Stegostoma tigrinum: one gene and its partner. The protein of the gene in region 1 purifies or fractionates together with the protein of each later gene. This does not show direct contact. Links are inferred from orthologs where the notes say so. Each region holds a gene or a part of one and is shown on either strand. Other genes may lie near its edges.

Region 1 (11,171 bases):
CAGACAAATTAATCCAGCAGCACTGAAGAAGCAATTGTTTCCACTCAGTCACTGGAAATCAAAAGATAACAGACCAACACTGGAGTTATTTGTCCAGCAGGAGCTATCACATTTTGGATGCCATATTTAGCAATATAGGGATGATATTCCAAATGCAGCGAATATAACTAGCGTGAATAAAGCATGGTGCTTTGTCATGCAGAAGAAATGTCTTAAATTGTTGTGCTAATGTAAAGAATTTTTCAAACTTTATTTTGAAAAGATTTCACTAATGAGACCATTGTACTTTATATCTAAAAACTCATTAAGTCCTTACCTTAAACTCCCCCCCCCCCCCCCAGGTATTCTGGCAGAATTCCCTTTTGAGTAAGAAAACTGATCTACTCCTTTCACATCTGAACGCACGTTCATTCAGTCACACATGTGCCCTGCACTGTAAGGAAGCATTCAGTACCTTCAACATGTGTCACTAAAAGTGCACAAAAAGAATGATCTTAAACCCAGCCTCCATACACCAAAATCACATGCAGCATTGATATGGCACTGACACTAAAGTTAGGTTATGCTGCAGTAGAGTTGATAGTACAATATGCTGCATTCCATACAGCTAGCACAAACACTGTACAGAATTATGTATATCTTAGTGCATGGTAGCTGTTTTCATGTATTGTACAAACATGAAAGTTTACATATGCAAACTAAAACATACAGTTCTACCATCTGAGAATGTTGCTCTAGATAAACACACAACCTTAGTGGGCACGTTTAACAATCACAAGATACACAAAAACCAGAAGGTGGGCACACTTGTGCATTGTACAAGGCAACAGATACAATAACAATTAAAGTGTAGTATACATCAGTGATTAGAAATGGTCCTGTCCAATGGGTGTCTGAAACAGTCACTTTTGTGACGTGTTTTTGGGCGGGGGGGGGGTGAAGTGAAGAAATAGACACAAAGAAAATACACTTCTCTAGCTAGCAGGCGATTACTACTTCAAAAGGGTGTTCCCTGACCTCTATACGTGTTGCTTAGTAACCAACCATTCCCGATGAGAAGCATTATCTGTACTGGATGTTTTACCCAGGGTGGAGAGATTCCATGTATCGCAGCAAGGTCACTTTGGTCGACAAAAAGTTAATGAAGAAAAACGTGGGAGCTTTGGATTCATGAATCAACAGTTCTGACTAATTGTGGATCATCCTGATCTGGTTTGCATCTGTTGAGTATACTGAAGGACTCAGTTTGACATTAAACTTGTTACGGGAGACAACCGAGAGCTGCTATAAATTGCAGGTACTGTGACATCGTACAAGTGTTCTGACCCCAGCAGACGTCACTTTTTATTTCACCTAGCATATAAATGAATACAACTGCAGTTTTTAATCTAAACTGCAAAGTCAGAGAGTATATTTTATCTGATTCCAAGAGATCAAGGAGGAAATTTTGGCATCACATGCCCCGCCCAGAACAACTGATTTATTATTCAACCCAAATGCGTTACTCTCAGATTAGCCTGTGCAAAAATTATAAGTCTTCTGGGAAGTGAGAGATTGCCAATCAGAAAGGGAGTAAGGAAGATAGTGAATACAGAACTGTTTCGTCTCCATCAGCCACCCACCTTCCAATGTTGACTAGATAATTGTCAGAGTCAGAAATCCAAAGGTCCATCTGCTTGACATCCATCATTGGATTGTAAGAGATGCCACTGCAGAAGAGCAACAGGACCTCATCTTGCATTGTTAACAAGGAGAAGCACTGCAAAGCTGACTTAGGCTCATGCTACAGCCTTACATCTAGAGAACTTGGAGGAGGAGGAAGAGGAGGAGGAGAAAGTAGCCCATATTTAAGTCAATGATATAGGTAGGAGAAGGAATGAGATTTTTAGGATGTCTGAGTAGCTTGGATAAAATTAAAATGCGAACCTCAATAGGATGAATTGCTACGTGAACAGCTTGCACATTGGAGAAGATTCAAGCAAGATTTGAGGTTTAAATGAATTGCTAAAACAGTGCTGTGGAAAATGAGTGTTTCAATTCAGGGGAACTGACACCAGTACCTGAATAGAAAGAGTTATAGCATTGGAGTGGACTTCACATATAGCAGCCCATAAGCCTGTGTCCTGGCAAATCATGTAATGAGAAGATCAAATAGGGTGGTAAGCTCAAGCCCTAGTTCAGGTAGTTATATAAAAACTTATCAGTGCAGACATGTTATTTAGGTTAAAAAAAAACACACTGGCAAGAGTATTTTAATAAGACATTACTGATTAAAGTCACCTCAGGGAAAAATATTAAACAGTTAAAACTAAAAGGTACTATGTCAAAATACATGACGTATTTCCAGGGAGAAGTAAGGGATATGAAGACAGAGTGGGAAAGTAGAAAAGCTGCAGAAGTTTTGACGAGATCATATTGAACAGTGCAACAAGTTTGACGGTCAACCCTCATCTCTTACGTTCTGACAGTACATAAAGGTAAAAACACAACAATGTCTACATATGTTGTTTTAAAAACTCGCGTTTGAATTTTTGTAAATGTTATAAGGTTAATAGACCAGGGTTATCTCAAGGTTATTCTCTACAAGGATTTTACAAAAGGTACAATTTATGCCAGATCAGTTTACAAGACAAATTCATACCACAATATTGTTCCACATTAACTATGGCTCAGTTGATAGTACTGTCAGCTGAGTTAAAATCCCACTCCAAGGCTAAAGGGTAACAGTCTCCAGTGATGATTTAGAGCAGTACACTGTCCGAGATACCAACTTTCAGAAGAGACACAAAACCGAGGTCCCATTTGTCTCAGATAACAAGGAGTGGAGCTGGATGAACACAACAGGCCTAGCAGCATCAGCGGTGCAGGAAGGCTGACGTTTCACGCCTAGACCCTTCCTCTTTTTCTGAAGAGGGGTCTAAGTGCGAAACATCAGCCTAGCTACTCGGCCTGCTGTGTTCTTCCAGCTCCACACCTTGTTATCCCAGATTCTCCAGCATCTGCAGTTTGTACTAGCTCTGAAACAATTTTAACCCCATTTGTCTCCTTGTGTGAACGTTAAAAAAACCCATGATACTATTTTGAAGAATACCAGGGGACTTACTACTAATATCATAACCAAAATGTGGCCTTCAATCAACATCACAAAAACAGGTCTGATCGCTATTAGTTTATTGCTTGTGGGAGTCTGCCGTAAATACCTGCCACATTTCCACACTTCAAAAACAAGTTCATTGACTCAAAGTACTTTGATACACCTGGTTTCATGAAAAATGCTAAACACATACAAGTGCTTTTTTCCCCTGTGCATGATTTGCTAGATCAGGAACTGAATTCCAAGCAATGGCTGTTGATCAGTTTTGAGACAGGTTATCACTAGTACTACCCTGGGGTCAGTGCTAACTTCCTGACTGTTTGGCGTACATATTAACAAGATAGTGAGATTGAGAGAACACTCAATAGTTTGGCAGGTGTAACGGTAAAGACTGTAGCGGAGGCCAATATTCTACAAAAAAAGTATGCAGTCAGAAAATTAGTAAAGCAATAACAAATAGCATTTAAGCTATTTACAACTGCATATTACATAAAAGGTAGGACGAACACATGAATACATATCATATACACTAAACAATACTGCAAGTAATTTAACTAAAAAGATTGAAGTATTATCGTACACATAACTGAAGATTCAAAATCAATGCTGAACAGCTTGACTGACAGCAGGCAGGATATTGGGAAGTATGAACAGAATTATTCGGCACTCAACTATAGGAAATAATCATCAGTCAGACAATAAATAGATGACTGTGTCCCATTTTGGTGAATAACACAATTGCCTTGGAAGACAATTAGAAGAGTGCTCTGTCAATTGTTGCTAGCTTAAAGAACCCAAAGTTACTCAGGCAATCATAGAGTTCTGTTTATTCATTTTGTCACAGCACAAACTTAGGAGGCCTGACAGCGTGAAGAAAACAACAAAGTTTAAAATGATGTGCTTGTTGATTACTTAAGTTTGTAAAACCAGGGGAATTAACATTTAAATTCCTGTACTTACATTTTCTGAATAGACCAAATATAATGCAATTGTTCTTTCCTCTAAGACGTAGCAAGCTTTCAGAATGGGTACCAGGAAGTGCAAAATATACTGACTCTCTGAATGGTGTTGAGGAGCTAGGTAGATGGCCTGGGCAGAGATCACAGGGTAAAGGGGCATTAACACCATCTCATGGGGCTGGTAGCAGCATTAAATCCTTCTCAGGCAACAGGCAACAGCATTAATACCCTCTCAGGAATCTTGCAGGATCATCACCTCACCCCCACCCCAGAACACTGGCAGGACCACTGACTCCCCCCTCAGGGGGTCAGTAGGGAAATTAACATCCCCCCTTCTCCTCAGGGACAACAGCAACCTCAGGGGACTAGGAGAGGCAATAACAATCACTCAAGGTACTGGCAGGGACATGAACAGCTCTCAAGATTTTGGCAGGGGCATAATACCCTTCAGGGGCAATAACCACCCTCAAGAACTGGCAGAAGCACTAATATACAAATCAGGGGACTAGCAAGGCAACTAGCAAACCCCCCTTCCCTTCAAGGGGCAGTCGGGGACGGTCCCAGACCTTTTCACCCCGGGACTCCCCCTTGGCTCTGGCGACTCCATCGGGTGGAGTATGGGGGCGGGGATGGTGTGATGGGGCAGTGCCCTGGGCCCGGCCTGCTGAGTGGCCCAGGACTCCCAGTCCTCGGGGAGGATGGCTGGTGGTGAGGGATGGTCACAACGAAGGCAGATGGGAGTCCTGAGGGCGGTGACGGCCTCCAGCTCCACTCTCTCTCCCGCCCTCTCGCCTGTTTACCTGTAATGGCTGTGAACTGCCGGATTAACCCCTGCAACGCCGACCCGGCCGACCCCGCTCCATCACCAACCGCCGCCATCTTACCGCGCAGCGCCCACGCAGGCGCACTCGGCCCAACCTTCTCTCCCCTCAGTCCCTCTCTTCTCCCACACGGGGACGTGACGTCATCCCTCCAACCACATTGGCCGGCTGCCCCATCTCCACGCCTGCGCACTCGGCACGCGTGCCAAATTGGAGGGACATCTTTGATCAAGGCAACACGATGCTTTCTGTGTCTCTTTCCATTGACTGGAGAGCTCGCTCATTGTTTGCAAATCAGCAGCGACTGCCGCAATCGTGATGGCAATCTTTCCGCGTCACCCCAACACCAATACGAGAAATTCCCATTGGACTTCGGACAGTTCAGGGCGCTTTATTTGTAATTTGTTACCTTCGAAGTTTTGGAACTCGACCTAGAGGTCAGAATATTCTGGCCCAACCGCTTGTATTGAACCCTATATACCCATTGTAAACACAGCCTAGATATTTTGAAGCAATGATGTTTGGATTTTTTTTAAAAATGCTAACTGCTAACGAGTTTGCGAAGGATTCTGACGGCAGGGCATCGTCATACAAAAGTTGAACGCTGGGGACATTGACAATAAGTAACAAAACTAACTGAATCAAAAACAAAAAGTGCTGAAAACACTCAGCAGGTCTGGTAGCATCTATGAAGAGAGAAACAAAAATTAACACTTCGAGTCGATTACGATTTTTTCGGAACTAGAACACAACTCTATTTTGTCTGTTATATACATTTCTGTTACTGTTGCCAACATCCTCATTCTGCTTTTGAAGCATATTTATTTTAATCCGCTCTCACTAGACAGCCTTTTAAGTAGCCTTTTCTAGGCGATTATCAGGAAAGTACTGGAAGCACTTATGTCACATAATATTATACGATTTTAAGATGCAGACATAACGATTGTATAGAAATGTACAATTACATTTGTTTGCAGCTGTGAATTTGGATGTTACTGAAGTCCACAGCAACACTTAAAAATAGGAACTTGCTTTCTTTGCAAAGCTGATTTAATGCACCTTAAGACAGTGCATGATTACAATATGAATAAGTGCAATTTGCACAAGATTTAAGATACGCTGTTTTGTTTATCCTTGATTTATTTCTTTTCAACCAAGTTATCCATAGTAGTACAATTTGTCATCTTAAACAATTAAAAATATATTGCTGTCATGAAGTTGTGTAGAAAATTCATGAATTGAAAGGCAGGAAGTTAGAATGTGTAAAAATAAGAGTGGGGAAAAGCAGTGCACGTTCCCTTTAAAATATTGTGCTTTGTCTGTACTTGGAAGGTTGCAAGTACTGTGCAGAGAGCCCCAAACTGAAACAAGTATATGAAAAACACCTTACAAATCAGGCGAAACAGGAGTCTTATTTTGGCAACAGGTTGAACTCAGCCATCGAAAGCCAATTAAATTTAAAATGATCATTTTGACAACTGTAAACCGATCACATTGTAAGAAATTGATGTGTCAGTCAGGGTATATAAGAAGGGGATTTTTGAAAATCAGTAAGAGCCAACTACTATCTAAGAAATAAACCGAGCTCTCACACAAAATCATTAAGTTCTCTTAAAAAAGAAGCATCAAAAGTACCACAGCACTCTCAGAAGTTACAAAGAAAACATCCCTGACAGGAAGATCAGCAGAAGGAAGGCTGTAGAGAGGATGGAGAAGACAGAGCATTTCAAAAGACAATGTGAACTTTGAGAGACTAAGTTTCAATTTATTGTTTTCTTATTATTTGGATTTACGTAAGAGCTGCTTGTGTTTATTGGAACAGCATAAGATTAGAATCTTGTATTAGGAAATAGTCATCACAGGGGAATTGTTCAGTTAGGGTTAAATAATTAAACTGTTTCTTGTTGCTGATAAAGTGAGCATTAGTGATTCCTTTCATTTACCTACTCGTTTAACAGATTGAGGGGCAAGATGAACTTCTCTGGTTGTTTAATTAGTAGATGGGAACCTCTATTCCCATTGTAACAGTTTGGGGCTGGTGTTTCAAATTATTTAGCTGAGGAGTTTGACCTTCCCCTTCTCCATAACACTGCATGCTAAGTGTACTAGCTGTTACACACACATCATTTTTGAGTGATAAGAGTCCTCCCTGCTCTGAGACAAATTCCTCATTAGACACAGGACTTTGGATGTGTGTTAATCAAATCCATCCTATTTAAGACTCAAAGATTCTGCATCATGTTTAAAACAATCCAAATTTAAAATAATTAATCTGAATTGAGACTTCACTACCATTGAAGAGAAGTGAAGACCAATGTTGCTGCCTTCTCAGTTGGTCCCAAGGTACAACTACCACTATTGAACCAGAGATCTTTCCACCTTCTAATCAACATTTTTGAGATCGCCTGAAAGTAAGCTTGTGATAAGTGTCAAGTAGCCTAACTCACTGTTCCAGAGAACATGAAAAAGACTGGGCAATTCTTTCAGTAACCCACAGGACAATCCAAACTATACATTCATTCAACTGTTGAAGACACATAAAAGGGATACAGGTGGGAAAATTTATTCTATTTTTCTTTAAAATTGTAATATTTGAGGATCATTTTAATTATAAGACCCAAGTCAATTATGATTACAGACCAAGTTGAGAGAACTAACCTAAAAGTTGACTCGTCCCATTTACGTTCAAGATCCATTCCATGTACGTTTTTCCATATTTGATAGAATTTAAATTTAATTAAACAGGTACAGAAGAAATAATATTCAATAAAAAGTGGTTTTCATTGATGCACGGAGATACTGGCTCATGGTTGACTGAAGTTGTTCTTCCATTTCTTTGTTGTGCACCAAGTTATTTAGAATCATTCAGCTTCCCAACAGACAGCGACCGTGCATTTAATCTCAGGTTGGTTAAACATGGTGCGCCCAATTTCTAGTTGGTCACCTTACTGATCTCACTTCCTGCTGTCTTCCAATTTGTTCCTTTGAATGTTAACCACATTCCTTGCCCCTCATATCTTAGCAACTTCATAGATCGCCACCAAAACAATGTGGCACCAGTAGAGCAATTTGTATATCCCTTTAAAGTGTCCTCTTTGACATACAATATTCCAATGTCCCAACTGCTACATACTATGCATTCTGGAACATTCCAAAGCCTAACAACTTCCAAAAACCTACACGCTAAAGGAATCATATGAATATACAATAATACAATAACTGAAACTACTTTCAAAAGATCATACTTTTTTTAGTTCTCCAAGAGGTGCTGCATACTTCAAGTTATAAAACTAAACCATCAACACATAGCTGTGTTCTTGACCAAAAGCTTTTTACTTCGTAACATTTTCACATTGATTAGCCTAAGTTTATGATTTGACCCATAAGAATAACCTTAAATCCATGATTTGGTTTAAATTTGCATCCCACAGCTACTTTCCCTTAAAAGAAATACCTTCATAACTATAATTAAATTGTATTCTGTTTATTTCCTCAGTTGCTTGATCAGGTCAAATTTAGTTATTGAAAAATAATTAAATCCTACAAGGTGCAGCATTTCAGTAACCACAGATTGCCTGCTTTGTAATCCAATGATAACAGACACCAAGGCTCATATGTGAACCTGGAATTCCTAAGAGAGGTTATATTGAACTCGGAGCATCAACTGTTTTTCTTTTCACAGATGCCGCCAAGCCTGTTGGGTTTCTCTCAAAACTTCACTTTTGTTCAGTGTCTTCAATTTCTAGGAGTACACAAAAGTTTTAATGCTCTTATCAGCAATACAATGGATATCTGCTTTTAATATATAGTGCTGAGCCTTTGCAGAGTAACTCGTATAACTCGAGCACTTTTTCAACTTCAACTGTTACACTTTCTACTGGAAGTTGTTTCACATTGCAATTAACTTCTTTCATCTACTAACTATACTAAAAGTTTATTCATGGTTAAGATGCAAAATGTGTCAATGCCTCTGCTCTAAGTTTGATCCACAAGACAAAGCTGACCCCCCAAAATAATACATCATCTCATATCAGACAAAATAAAATCTCAGTTTGCAGGCAATGTTTCATTCAAAAGTCCTAAGGAAATCAAAGATGGAATTTCTAAGTATCGAAAAAGAATTAACTAGGCTTGTTTATGTGTTTTAAAATGGTTGTGATCCAGTTAAAACAATCAGGTAGGCATTTTGTACTTTAACTGGAACAATTTGCTGCATTGAAAGATGACATTCAAATAGAAATTTTCACGTTAACCTTATTGCATACCTCTAATGGTTCTTTCCATGCTCATTACAGAACTTGCTAAGGCCAGAGGATTCACTGACTCATTTATTAAACTTAGCTCCAAGTTCATTAATTTAATGCATTTTTGTCATTAAGAACACTAGCCATTGTTTAATTATAACTGAAATAGGCCACAAGTCTCCATTGCATCCTAGCCAATTAACTTCTACCGTTGATCTGGTTCTGCTTCATTGATGTTACAGAGACTGTTCAAGTTATAAAGGAGATGCTGGATAGGCTGGGAGTTTTATTCCCCATGAAGCATAGGAAGCAGAGGTGTGACCATATGAAGGTTATAAAACCATGAGGGGCACAGATAGGGTGAATAGACAAGGTCTTTTCTCTAGTTTAGCTAAGTCCAAAACTTGAGGAATAGGTTTAAACAGCGACAGGGGTAGGATTTAAAAGGAAGCGGACGGGGAACATTTTCCAGAGTTTAGTGCACATATAGAACGAGCTGCCAAATTAAGTGATAGAGAGTACAATTACAATTTAAAAACATTTGTACAGGTATATGGATAGGAAAGATTTGAGGGATGTGGACGCCACAGACACAGACACACACACACGAGACAAGTTCAGATTAGGGAACCTGCTTGGCATGGACACGTGGGCCAAAGGGTCCTTTTCCACATTGTCTGACTATGACCATTTTACCACTCAACGGTCAAACTGCTGCTGTGTAATCCATTTACTCAACTCATTGTTTCATAGCCTAAGGACAGCGATGAGTGAAGCAGAAAAACACTGAGTCTCAGTGAATTCAATGTCTATTATTTCCAAGACCATACAAAATAAAGTTAACAGCCATAAACAGAAATTGCCAAAACTGTTTTCTCACCACTGACACAGCCAGACCTACTAAGTTTCTCCATCAATTTCTGCGTTTCATTCAGATCTCCAGTTATTTGTTCTATTTTAAACCTAAATGGCAAACATTTAGGGGTCCCAAAAAATCAAGAGAGCAACAGATTCCTACATTTCAGCTCAGAAAGAAGTAACCTGTAAAAGGTGATCACAGAGCTATACGAAACAGCAAATTAAAAAGGCAAAGGTATACCTAGAATGTTTAAACTGTGGAAGACAGACAAAAGTAACATGTTCAACCTAGGAAAAGGTAGCTTTTTCAAACACCTGGGAGGTTCTTCCTTATGCAGGGTGATTAATTTATGGAATGGACTCAGTGGAGTTGAAACATCTTAGATACTCTGAAAACAATTGGATATCAACAGGCTGCTGTTGGACTTTTGCTACATACATAAACAAATAAGCAAAATTAATTTCCTCTAGCGGTCCCCAGCCAATTTCCATGTGATATCAGGCAACTGTTGCAGATACTAGACACTAAAAAAGATTAAGGGCTCTGACAATATTTCAACAATAGTACTTAAGATAGCATTCCAAAACTTGCCACTTGCCAAGCCAAATTGTTCCAATCACAACGCTGGCATCTACCAACAATGTGAACAATTGCCCAAGAAGGTCCTGTACATAAAAAGTGCGGCAAATCCAACCTGGCCTATTACTTCCCCATCAGACTTCTTTCAATCATCAAAGCAATGGAAGGTGTCATCAACAATCCTATCAAGCAGCAACTGCTCAGTGACACCCAGTTTGGGTTCCACAGGGCCACTCCGCTTCTGACCTCATTACAGCCTTGGTTCAAACATGGACAAAAGAGCTGTGGTCCAAAGGTGTGGTAAAAGTGACTGCCCCGACATCAAAGCTGCATTCAACCGAGTGTGGCAAAGAGCCCTGCTAACACTGAAATCAATGGGAATCTGGGGGTAAGCTGCCCAGTGGTTAGAGTCATACCTGGCACATAGGAAAATGATTGCGGTTGTTGAGGGTCAGTCATCTCTGCAAGAGTTCCTCAGGGTGGCATCCTGGGTCTAACCATTTTTAGCTGCTTCAATCTCATTCCCTCCATTAAAGTCAGAAGTGGGGATGCTGGCCGATGGTTGCACAACGGTCAGTACCATTCACAACTCTTTGGATACTGAAGCAGTCCATG
Region 2 (10,448 bases), on another chromosome or scaffold:
ACCCCACAAACAAAGATATATTTCCCTCCCCATCCCTACCTGCCTTTTGTCCAGACCGCTCTCTCCATGACTCCCTCATCTGCTCCACACTCCCCATTAGTCCCACCACCCCGGCACCTTTCCCTGCAACTGCAGTAAGTGCTACACCTCCGCCCCCCCCGCCAACTTTCATTCAAGGCACCAAACAAACCTTTCACATCTGACAGAGGTTCACATGCACATCCGTTAATGTGGTCTATTGTATCCACTGCTCCTGATGTGGCCTCTTCTACATTAGTGAGACCAAGCAGAGGCTCAGAGACTGCTTTGTAGATCATCTGCGCTCTGTTCGTAACAAACAACAACACCTTCTGGTCGTGAACCATTTCAATTCCCCCTCCCACTCCCTGGGTCACATGTCCATCCTGGGCCTCCTCCAGTATCACAATGACGCCACCTGGATATGAGCAACACCTCATATTCCACCTTGGGAACCTACAGCCCAATGACCTAAATGTGGACTTTACCAGTTTCAAAATCTCCCAACCCTGGCCTCATCCATTACCAACCCTCCCTCTCATCCCCACCTCCTTGACCAGACACAACCTGTCCATCTTCCCTCTCACCGATCCACTCCTCCCACCACTCCCTATCTGCACTCACCTGTCACCATCCCACCTACCTTTCCCAGCCCCACCCCATCTCTTTATTTATTTCTGAGCTTCCTTCCCCCTCCCCCATTTCTGAAGAAAGATCCTGAACCAAAATGTCAACTTTCCTGCTCCTCTGATGCTGCCTGGCTTGCTGTGTTCCTCCGGCTCCACACTGTGTAATCTCTAGTTAAATTTTTGTTAAGGCACAGGATTAAGGGATATGGACCATAGGCACGTTTGTGGAGGTAGGCCATACAGATTAGCCATTGAATTGTGGAACAGGCTTGAGGGATTGAATGGCCTACTCTTGTACCTATGTTCAAAGTCATAGATGATCTCTCATTAGACTGGTAGTGCAGTATTAGAGTTGTATTAGTTTTGTAAATAAGACAGAAAAAAGGAGAAGAAATAAACACAAAGGTACATGACATAATGGAAGACAAGAGAGAGTAAAGTGACAAAAGATATGGTATTAGGACAAGCAGTACTGCAGCTGTGATAAAATAAAGGACCGTGGACACGAGAAATCTGAGACAAATGCAGTAATTGCTGAAGAAACTCAACAGGTCTGGCAGCATCTTTGAAGTTCCCTGAAGGACCACTGGACTCAATGTTGTCTGTTTTCTCTCCACCCGCAGCAATTTATGCTTTTCTTAAAACTAATTTGTGTCTGGGTGAAGGAGTTAGTATGTCTTGCGTTCTTTTTTCCCTCTTTTTCAGCCTCCAGTACTAGCAAGAATGTGAAAAGAGAACCAAAATGTGTCTCCCCATATTAGTACACAGCCTTTCCATTGGCTTGCCTTCAGCTGTACTTCCTATCCAGACAAAGATTCATGGGAATTTCATCCTCTTATCAATGCCAGCTATACTGCCTACCCAGATAACAACCAACAGGATCACATCTCAAATAAACAGGCCCTTTTACACGGGGTCAAATTGGACTTGAAGCATTAAATCTGTTTGCCCTTTCCTGGATGTTGCCAGATTAGCTGAGATTCTCCAGCACTTCTGTTTTCATTTCAGATTTCTGGCATCTTCAGTATTTTATTTTTATTTAAATTGTTAAATATTCATATTTTGTACTCTGCTGAGCATGGTTCGTCAAGGACAGGAGAAAAATAATGTAAATTGGAGACTGAATACTCAAGATCAAGGTGCACAGGAATCCCAGACAGTCTGCTTCTAGTTAATTACCAAATTTATGACCAAGGTTCTTGAGCAGCTGAATATAACATCAACAAGTTGGGTGCTTTTCTTTATCATTTTGGTTTGATTTATCCAAATTTGACTCTTAATTTGTTTTTTAATGTGTTTAAAATAACTTTGAATAAAACAACACCCTCCTCCCCCTTGTCCTTTGTTGGTGTAATTTCAAAGGAGACATTTACTTGAAACGGGATAAGTCTTACCTAACTAATCAACTATTTAGAAGTTGCTTCAATTGATTAAGTAATTCAGGCAGATTTCATGGCTTGAATCACAGAACCTTAGGATTCTTATTTTAGAAAAATAATATTTAAGGCCTCTTGTGGCACACTGGTATTGCCTCTATTTCTAGACTGACAGCCCCTCGTTTCAAGTCCTGCCTGCTTTTGGAATTACATAATAACATATCTGACCAGATGATCTGAAAAGAAAATCTTACTTTTTACAGCAAACTCTACAATATGATACACTTACGTAAAATGTTTAACAATTGTTGTAGTTGAGGGGAGTGCAGCAGTTAATTGGCACAAGCCATGGCTTCACAATCAACAGTGAGAAAAACAGATAATCTGTTAACAAATAGATATTATCCAGTAGTTGAACTTCCCATTCATCTTCAAACATTGTCTTAGGATCTCTTATATCCACTTGAGATGGAAAAGGAGCCTTGATGTCTTAGGTGAAAGACAGTACATCCAACAACACCATATTCCCTCAGTAGTGCACCAAACTATCTGCCTTGATCACGTGCTCAAGTCTCTTGAGCAGGACTTTAAAAAAGACTTCTGACTGAACCATGGCTGAAAAGTCAATTGTTCAAAAACAATTAAAGCCATCCAAGCCTTCAGTGTTGGAATTTTTTGTCCTAGTCATCAACTGCCTTCAGAGTCTCATACAGATGTACTGTATCAAAAATCCAGCATGGTGACATCTCAAAGATATTTAATATCCTGCCAAGACAACTGGAGTGTTTCTAATAAGTGATTTTTATTGAGGTATTTAAGATTGTGTAGGTTTGTTTTCATTGCTCAGTGACATGGTAAAAGAGAGTACAAAACTTAAAAGGCATTGGCCAGTTAGAAAAACTCCTTTCGCAGCACTTGAAATTCTCTGCCACAGATTTGGGCTGAAGCTGAGTCCATATGTTCTTATAAAAATTTAATTTACAGTTGTTTACAAAAATAATTATTAAGGAGTTCAAAATCTGTAAATTGGCTGGAGAGTAAATTGACACAATCACTGGTGTTCCATGTTACATTCCATATCTTTATTCTAAGTTGGAAGAGTTCAGTTGCAGTATCAGAGAATAATTGTGCAGTCATACAGAAAACAATTGCTGTTGGAAATCTGTTGCCAAGTCATTTTGTGTGTATTGTACCACAATGGGCCTACGATTGGAAACTGAACTCATCCTTATTTGTGTGGCAGGAAGGATTATAAAATCATGCCTTTCTTCATGAGCAATCAGGTTAATGATATACTAGCTAGCATGCAATAAAAATTGGCAGCGTTGTATTTAACACATAGGTATAGATTGTATTAATATATTATCAATTTGCCTTGATTTTAACTTGTTTGATATTCAATCATGAGATGTAAGTGTTACTATTGCCTTAGTTACCCTTGAGGAGATGGTGGTGATCTTCCTTCTTGAACTGCTGTAGTCCATGTTTTGCAAGTAGACTCACAATGTTACAAGGGAGAGAATCCCTGGATTTTTACCCAGTGCCCCCGAAAGAATGGCCATATGTTTCTGAGTCAGAATGGAAGGCTTGGAGTGAATTTGCAGAAATTTGGTGTTCCCATGTGTCTGTTACCCTTGCCCTTCTAGATGGAAATGGTTGTGGGTTTGGAAGGATCATTGGAGAATTTCTTGTGGATCGAACGCTCTGCTGCTATTGAGTTTTGGTGGTGGAGGGAGCGATCTGTTTTGTCCTGGAAACTGTCAAGTTTCTTGGGTGTTGTTGGAGCTGCATCCATTCAGGCAAGTTTGGAGTATTCCATCACATTCTTGACTTGTGCTTTGCAGATGATGTACCAGCTTGGTGAAATTGGGCAGTGAGTTACTCACCATAGTATTTCAAGCGCCTGACCTGTACTCGTACCCACTGAATTTAAGTGGTGAGTCCAATTGAGTTGTGGGTCAATGGTAACTCCCAAAATGTTCATAATGGAGGATTTACTGATGGTAAAAGCATTGAATGTCAAAGGATGTTGGGCAAATTGTCTCTTATTGAAAATAATCCTATCCAGCATTTGTGTGGCATGAACATCACTTGCTACTTTTCAGCCTGGGCCTGGATATTGTCCAGATCTTGTTGAATTATGTTATTTTCTCAACATTAATAAGTTTTAAACATCATTAACATATGACATTTTTCAAAACGTTCCACTTTTCACCATTAAGCGAAAGATTGGCATTTATATAATTGCAAACAAAATGACTTTTGCATTCAATCCCAATTTCCCTGCTTTAGGAAGCATGTTAAAATTGAAAGGTTGCAGAAAAGATTTACATGGATGAGCCTGGGTTGGTGTGTTTGAGTTATAGTGAGAGCCTGAACAGGCTAGGCCTGTTTTCCCTGGGGCGTGGAGGTTGAGGGTTTATAAAATCATGAGGGGTAGGGGAGTCCAAAACAAGAGGGCATAGGTTTAAGGTGAGAGGGAAAATATATAAAATGGACCTGAGGGAAAACTTTTCATGCAGAGGGTGATGCGTGCATGGGATGAGCTGCCAGAGGAAGTGGTGGAGGCTGGTACAATCGCAACATTTAAAAGGCCTCTGGATGGATATAAGAATGGAAAAGGTTTGCAGGGATATGAGCCAATTGCTGGCAAGTGGTACTTGATTAATTGAGGAAAGCTGATCAGCATGGATGAGTTGGGCTGAAGAGTCTGCTTCCTTGCTGTATGACTCTATAAGCTGCTCTGTGCTCTGCAAGCTCCTGATCCAGGTGTAAAAACTAACTGCGAATGCTGTAAATCAGGAATAAAAGCTAGTTGTTGCTAGAAAAACTCAGCAGGTCTGGCAGCATCTGTGAAGGGAAAAAAACAGAGTTAACGTTTCGGGTCCGATAACCCTGTGCAAGGGTTAACTCTGCTTTTACCTTCACAGATGCTGCCAGACCTGCTGAGCTTTTCCAGCAGCCTTGTTCCGGATCCAGGTATCAGAGATAATGGGAACTGCAGATGCTGGAGATTCCAAGATAATAAAATGTGAGGCTGGATGAACACAGCAGGCCAAGCAGCATCTCAGGAGCACAAAAGCTGACGTTTCGGGCCTAGACCCTTCATCAGAGAGGGGGATGGAGGGAGGGAACTGGAATAAATAGGGAGAGAGGGGGAGGCGTACCGAAGATGGAGAGTAAAGAAGATAGGTGGAGAGGGTGTAGGTGGGGAGGTAGGGAGGGGATAGGTTAGTCCAGGGAAGACGGACAGGTCAAGGAGGTGGGATGAGGTTAGTAGGTGGACTGACCTATCCCCCTCCCTACCTCCCCACCTACACCCTCTCCACCTATCTTCTTTACTCTCCATCTTCGGTACGCCTCCCCCTCTCTCCCTATTTATTCCAGTTCCCTCCCTCCATCCCCCTCTCTGATGAAGGGTCTAGGCCCGAAACGTCAGCTTTTGTGCTCCTGAGATGCTGCTTGGCCTGCTGTGTTCATCCAGCCTCACATTTTATTATCTCCGGATCCAGGTATGTTGAGCCTGGTTGCTAAGGCCTATTCTCCCACCCCTTCACCAGTTGCACCAATACGGTGTGTAAATGGACAGAGCTGTCCCGAAACACCCAACCATAGGCAAATAACTAGGCGGAGCTTTGTTCATGCCCGCATTGATTGGTCCGTTAGCTCAAGAATGCTGCCAAGTCCGGGCGCTGATTGGTCCGATACTGGACAGCGCTATTGGCTGCTTCGATGAGGTTGGCGTATTGTTGATTCTGACCAATAGGAGCCCTGTCCTTTGCCCCATTGCTGGTCGGCGGAGCGGCTTCCGGCGGATATGGCGATGTGCGGTCAGTGAGTCTGCAGTCTGCGCTGATCAGCAAGTTGTTAATTTGATAAAGAGCGAACCCGATTGACAACTCAATACAGCGTCGCACCCAGAATAAAGTCAAAGATGGTAAGTTATTTGGAGTGTGCATGGGAGGTACTGTCAGTTCGGGATGTGGAGACGAGACACAATCACGGGCATGGATTCTGGCCTCAGTCATACCCCACAGCCCCTCTCCTGTGTATTTAGTGTTTGGGGTTGAGATGGGGGTAACCGGGAGCTAGCGCAGGTTCTGTGCTCAACCAACATAAATAATTGTCAATAGTTACGGATAGGAAATATGATGTTATAACACATTTCCTAATTTTGATGTTTAATAACCCGAATCCTGAAAGATGGTCGCTGCTTTTAATGGACTGTTTTGTTTTATTATTTGATAGAGCTTGACAATTCCAGCCGAAGCTGTGTAAAATTCAGCTCGAAAGCCCTTCTTCACCAGCCACATACTGGGATAGTCTTGGCTAAGATGTTGACTTGGGGAAATTGAGTAATAAGTGATGAGTCCATCATTGAATACCTTTTCAAAATAGTATAAGATCACTGTAATGCTGAACCACAGTTGTGATAATCTTGCAGGGAAATTGTTTCGCTGGAAAGTAACATCTAACAGATTGTAGTAATTTTAAGTTTACAAATAGTGTTTGGGTACTGTTAATTTGTTTAGATTTTTTGTGAATCTGTCAACAAATTTTAGTTTTTTTTGCTAATATTTTTTGTTGGTTTATACTGAAGGCAGTCTTTTCACCATTAGATGCCAATGCCATGTTTTGAAAATTAGAGCAGTTGTGTTTTTTAAATAGAAATGTAAAATGTGTGAAAAGCTCATTTGATTCGAGCAACACACTTCAATGCATACCATGCATATAAGGCAATGGCTCTAATTGCATTTATCCACTGTAATCCCATATATCTTTACAGGTGATTGTGAGAGCCACTATATAAATGAAATTTAGTAGTTTTGCTGAATTAATTTTTATTTCCAATGATTAGTCAGTCTAATATCTAGAATTCCTCTGTGACACATTAGGGCCCTGATGAAGAACCTGGAGTATTCAGACAAGAAAGGAGGGCAAGGGTAAATGAAACCTTCCAGCTTATTCTTTGACCTCCTTCAGTAAACCCTAGGAGAGATATTAAATATATTCTTTCTGCATTTTGATGTGATACATTTTGATGTTTTTCTTTGTGACATTTCCTCATTTTCTCTCTCTCTCTCTTTTGTTGCAGTTTGCCTTCAATATGTTTGATCAGGCAATTCCACATGCCTTTCGGAATCGTTTCTCAACACAGTACCGATGCTACTCAGTCTCTATGTTTGCAGGCAGCGATCGATCGGATGTAGAGAAAGGAGGCAAAAGTAAGTGGATGGGAAAGTGGTGCGATGGGTGTGATCGAACATGTTTGTTGGTAATCTACTGGAAAATGAATTTGCTTCATGAATGAGCAGGCTGAATAGTGAGTTATAGAGGTGAAAGAGGTTTGATATTCTATTGTCCTGTTGATGAATCTTACTTATGATGCAAGTGCTAGGTATTGATATGAAATATATTTCTAAATGTCTATTTGAAAAGAGATTCAAGAGAACCACAAATTGAGATGATATGGAGTGGTACCAGAATTAAAGGGAAGTTTCTGCGGAAGACTGGTTTGTGAGATAAGTGCAGTGTCGTTCAGTGGGAGCGCTATACCTCTGAGTGGCGTGAACCCAGATCTTCAAAGACCTGAACGTGTAATTTATTCTGATATTTCAGTGCACTTTTGAGAGGCAGCTACACTGTTGAGATGAAATATTAATTTTATGCCCCATTAGCATTTTCTGGGAACTACAAGGAGACAACTACTTTAGGTACATTTAAGTCATCATTGGATAAGCATATGGACGTACATGGAATAGTGTAGGTTAGAGGGGCTTCAGATAGGTATGACAGGTTGGCATAACATCGAGGGCCGAAGGGCCTGTACTGTGCTGTAATGTTCTATGTGCTATGTACAAAGAATCCCAGATTACTGGTTTAAGAATAATTGAGAATTTTCTCCTATATCTCTTCAATCAGTACCCAAGATTACAGTGGATAGTTGTAGTCTGTATGTTAGAAATGCAGAGGTGCTGGAAAAGGTGCATTAAAGATTTAAAAAGATAAAACCAGAACTGAGGTTACAAGAAAGACTGAACAGATTGGAAACGAGTGAAGCCAAAGATGACCCAATAATGGCATATCAAATTATGAATTCTGATAGGATACATAAGAGATAATGTTCTGGTGGAAGCTCAAAACTAGGAGCTTTAAGATAGTCACTAATATATCCAAAATGGAATTCAGAAGAAACTTATTTCCAACTAAATTTTTTCACTGCTGTCTTACAGGCATCTTGATTCAGAGCTTAGGAAAAAAACCCCAGGAATTTCTGGAAAAGCTCAGCAAGTCTGGCAGCATCTGTGGAGGGAAATCAGAGTTGACGTTTCAGGTCAAGTGACTCTTCCTCAGAACTCGGGTCACTGGACCCAAAATGTTAACTCTGCTTTCTCTCCACAAATGCTGCCAGACTTGCTGAGCCTTTCCAGCAATTTCTGTTTTCGTTTCTGTGGAAAGCATGTGCAGTTTATTTTTTTTTTTAAAATCAGATCTTAGGCGTTGGTTTCAGGAGGGAATCGTTTTCTAATGTAAAGCTAATCCCCAGCTGCTTTTTTGACTCCAAACTGTAGTCTCAAACCACACTCTCCTGTTGTCTTCATTCTTGTGTCCAACAAGCTTGTGTGAAGAGCTAATATTCTTTGTTCCTACAGTCAAGTCCCATCTATTTCTGATCTGCTGCCTCAGCTACATGCCTTTGTTCCATTGGCCCAAAGCCACAAATCCAGGAATATTCCCCCCACTCTAGCCCTGAACACTGTCTTATGCTAATTTCTGTCCAAACAGCCTTTGTTTCTTCTCCAAACTCATCCTGTCAAAGCAGGCTACTTCTTGCTCTCTCAACACTGTTCCCACTAAACCATTGACCACCCAACCTTCCATCTGGATCACCACGAAACCAGCATTATTAACGCACCCTCTCTCTCCCTTCACTCTTTCATGTTCTCTCCCTTAAATCTGTCACCAACTCTCCTCCAAAAAAAACTTGCTTATGTCTAGACTTACTGTCCATCTCAGACCTTTCTTTGCTTTTCACAGCCATTGAACTTGTACGTTCCCAAATCTGTCCCCATTTTTCTCAGTTATTTTTAAAATCTCTTCAATTACATTTCTGCCCTTTTCACAGTTCTAAAATCTTGTGCCAAAGTCTCATATGCCTGTGTCTCTCTCAACCTGACAAGGATAAACAACTCCTCCTCCTCCTCCTCTAAGGACTCTTCACTGACATCTAGATGTCTGGGATTGTTCTATGATTCACTTTCTGCTGCAAGCCGTAACCTCTGGTGTCTCCTAAAAAATCTATCCTTCTCCCCTCTTATTTATTAATTAAGGCTTAGCATTAGTTTTCACATGTAAGCTGATGACACCCATCTTTACCTTACTACTACACCTGTCGGCTCCTCTACTATTGCTAAATGTCAGACTGTGTATTCAACATCCAGTGTAGGATGAGCAGGAATGTCTTCAGATGAAATAGTGGAAAAACTTAAGCCATTGCTTTGATCGCTGTTTCAAAATTCATCCCCTAGCTTTCAACTCTATTTTTTTGCTCTTTCTCTCTGGCAGTGCTCTGATACTGATCACAAACGGAAATGATTGTCAAAATATTTGATTTTTGAGGTGGGCTTTCAACATATTTACCCCATCACAAAGACTAATCTGTTCGCTGGTTCCCTTGTTATCTGTCTTCCATAATCCACTCCTGTCTGGTCAAGTTTATCCAAAATGCTGCTGCCTGAATCTTTATTCAAACCAAACCTGTCCACCTATCACCACTGTGCTTGATGGGCCCTGATAATGCATCATCTTCATTTTAAGTTTTTGGTCTTGTTTTCAAACCCCACATTTAGCTCACTGCTTTCTACCTTTGTAATCTTCACAGTACCTTCTGACGTAACTTCACTCATCTACTTCTGGCCTCTTGTGCATTTTTCAGTTCATATCGCTGTTATTAGTGACTGAGCCTTCACTTGCCAAGTCCCTAAGTTCTGGAATTCCCGTCTACCTTTCTTTCCTCCTTTTAAGATGTGCTTTTAAAGCCTGGCTCTTTGCCTGACCATTTAAAAGAAGGCCTTGGGTAGTAGTAGAACAGAGACACCTAGGGGTTCATGTACCTAATTCTTTGAAGTTTGAATCCCATGTAAACAGGGTAGTTAAGAAAGTGTTTAGCATGTGTGCCTTCATTGCTCAGACCTTTGAGTATAGGAGTTGGGACGGCATGTTGAGGTTGTACAGGACAAGGCCCCTTCTGGAGTACTGCATTCATTTCTGGTCGCCCTCTTGTAGGAAGGATATCATTTAAGCTAGAAAGTTAGGAAGAGATTTATCAGACTTGTTGCTGGGAATGGAGGGCCTGAGTTATCATGAGAGGCTGGAAAGGCTGGGATTTTTTTCACTGGAGCATAGAAGATTGAGGGGTGACCTT

The links.
Region 2: the proteins of ubxn7 (region 1) and ufd1l purify together in Homo sapiens (affinity purification with mass spectrometry; 3 studies listed by BioGRID and IntAct, with this or other methods). This does not show direct contact. The link is inferred for Stegostoma tigrinum from reciprocal best matches to the Homo sapiens genes UBXN7 and UFD1.

The regions. Positions count from the first base shown.
Region 1 is NC_081367.1:6,715,068-6,726,238, reverse strand, and holds the start of ubxn7 (UBX domain-containing protein 7), read right to left. Parts: upstream 4,974-11,171; 5' UTR 4,933-4,973; coding exon 4,854-4,932; intron 1-4,853. UniProt on the Homo sapiens protein: Ubiquitin-binding adapter that links a subset of NEDD8-associated cullin ring ligases (CRLs) to the segregase VCP/p97, to regulate turnover of their ubiquitination substrates.
Region 2 is NC_081379.1:43,302,630-43,313,077, forward strand, and holds the start of ufd1l (ubiquitin recognition factor in ER-associated degradation protein 1), read left to right. Parts: upstream 1-5,813; 5' UTR 5,814-5,957; coding exon 5,958-5,960; intron 5,961-7,118; coding exon 7,119-7,248; intron 7,249-10,448. UniProt on the Homo sapiens protein: Essential component of the ubiquitin-dependent proteolytic pathway which degrades ubiquitin fusion proteins.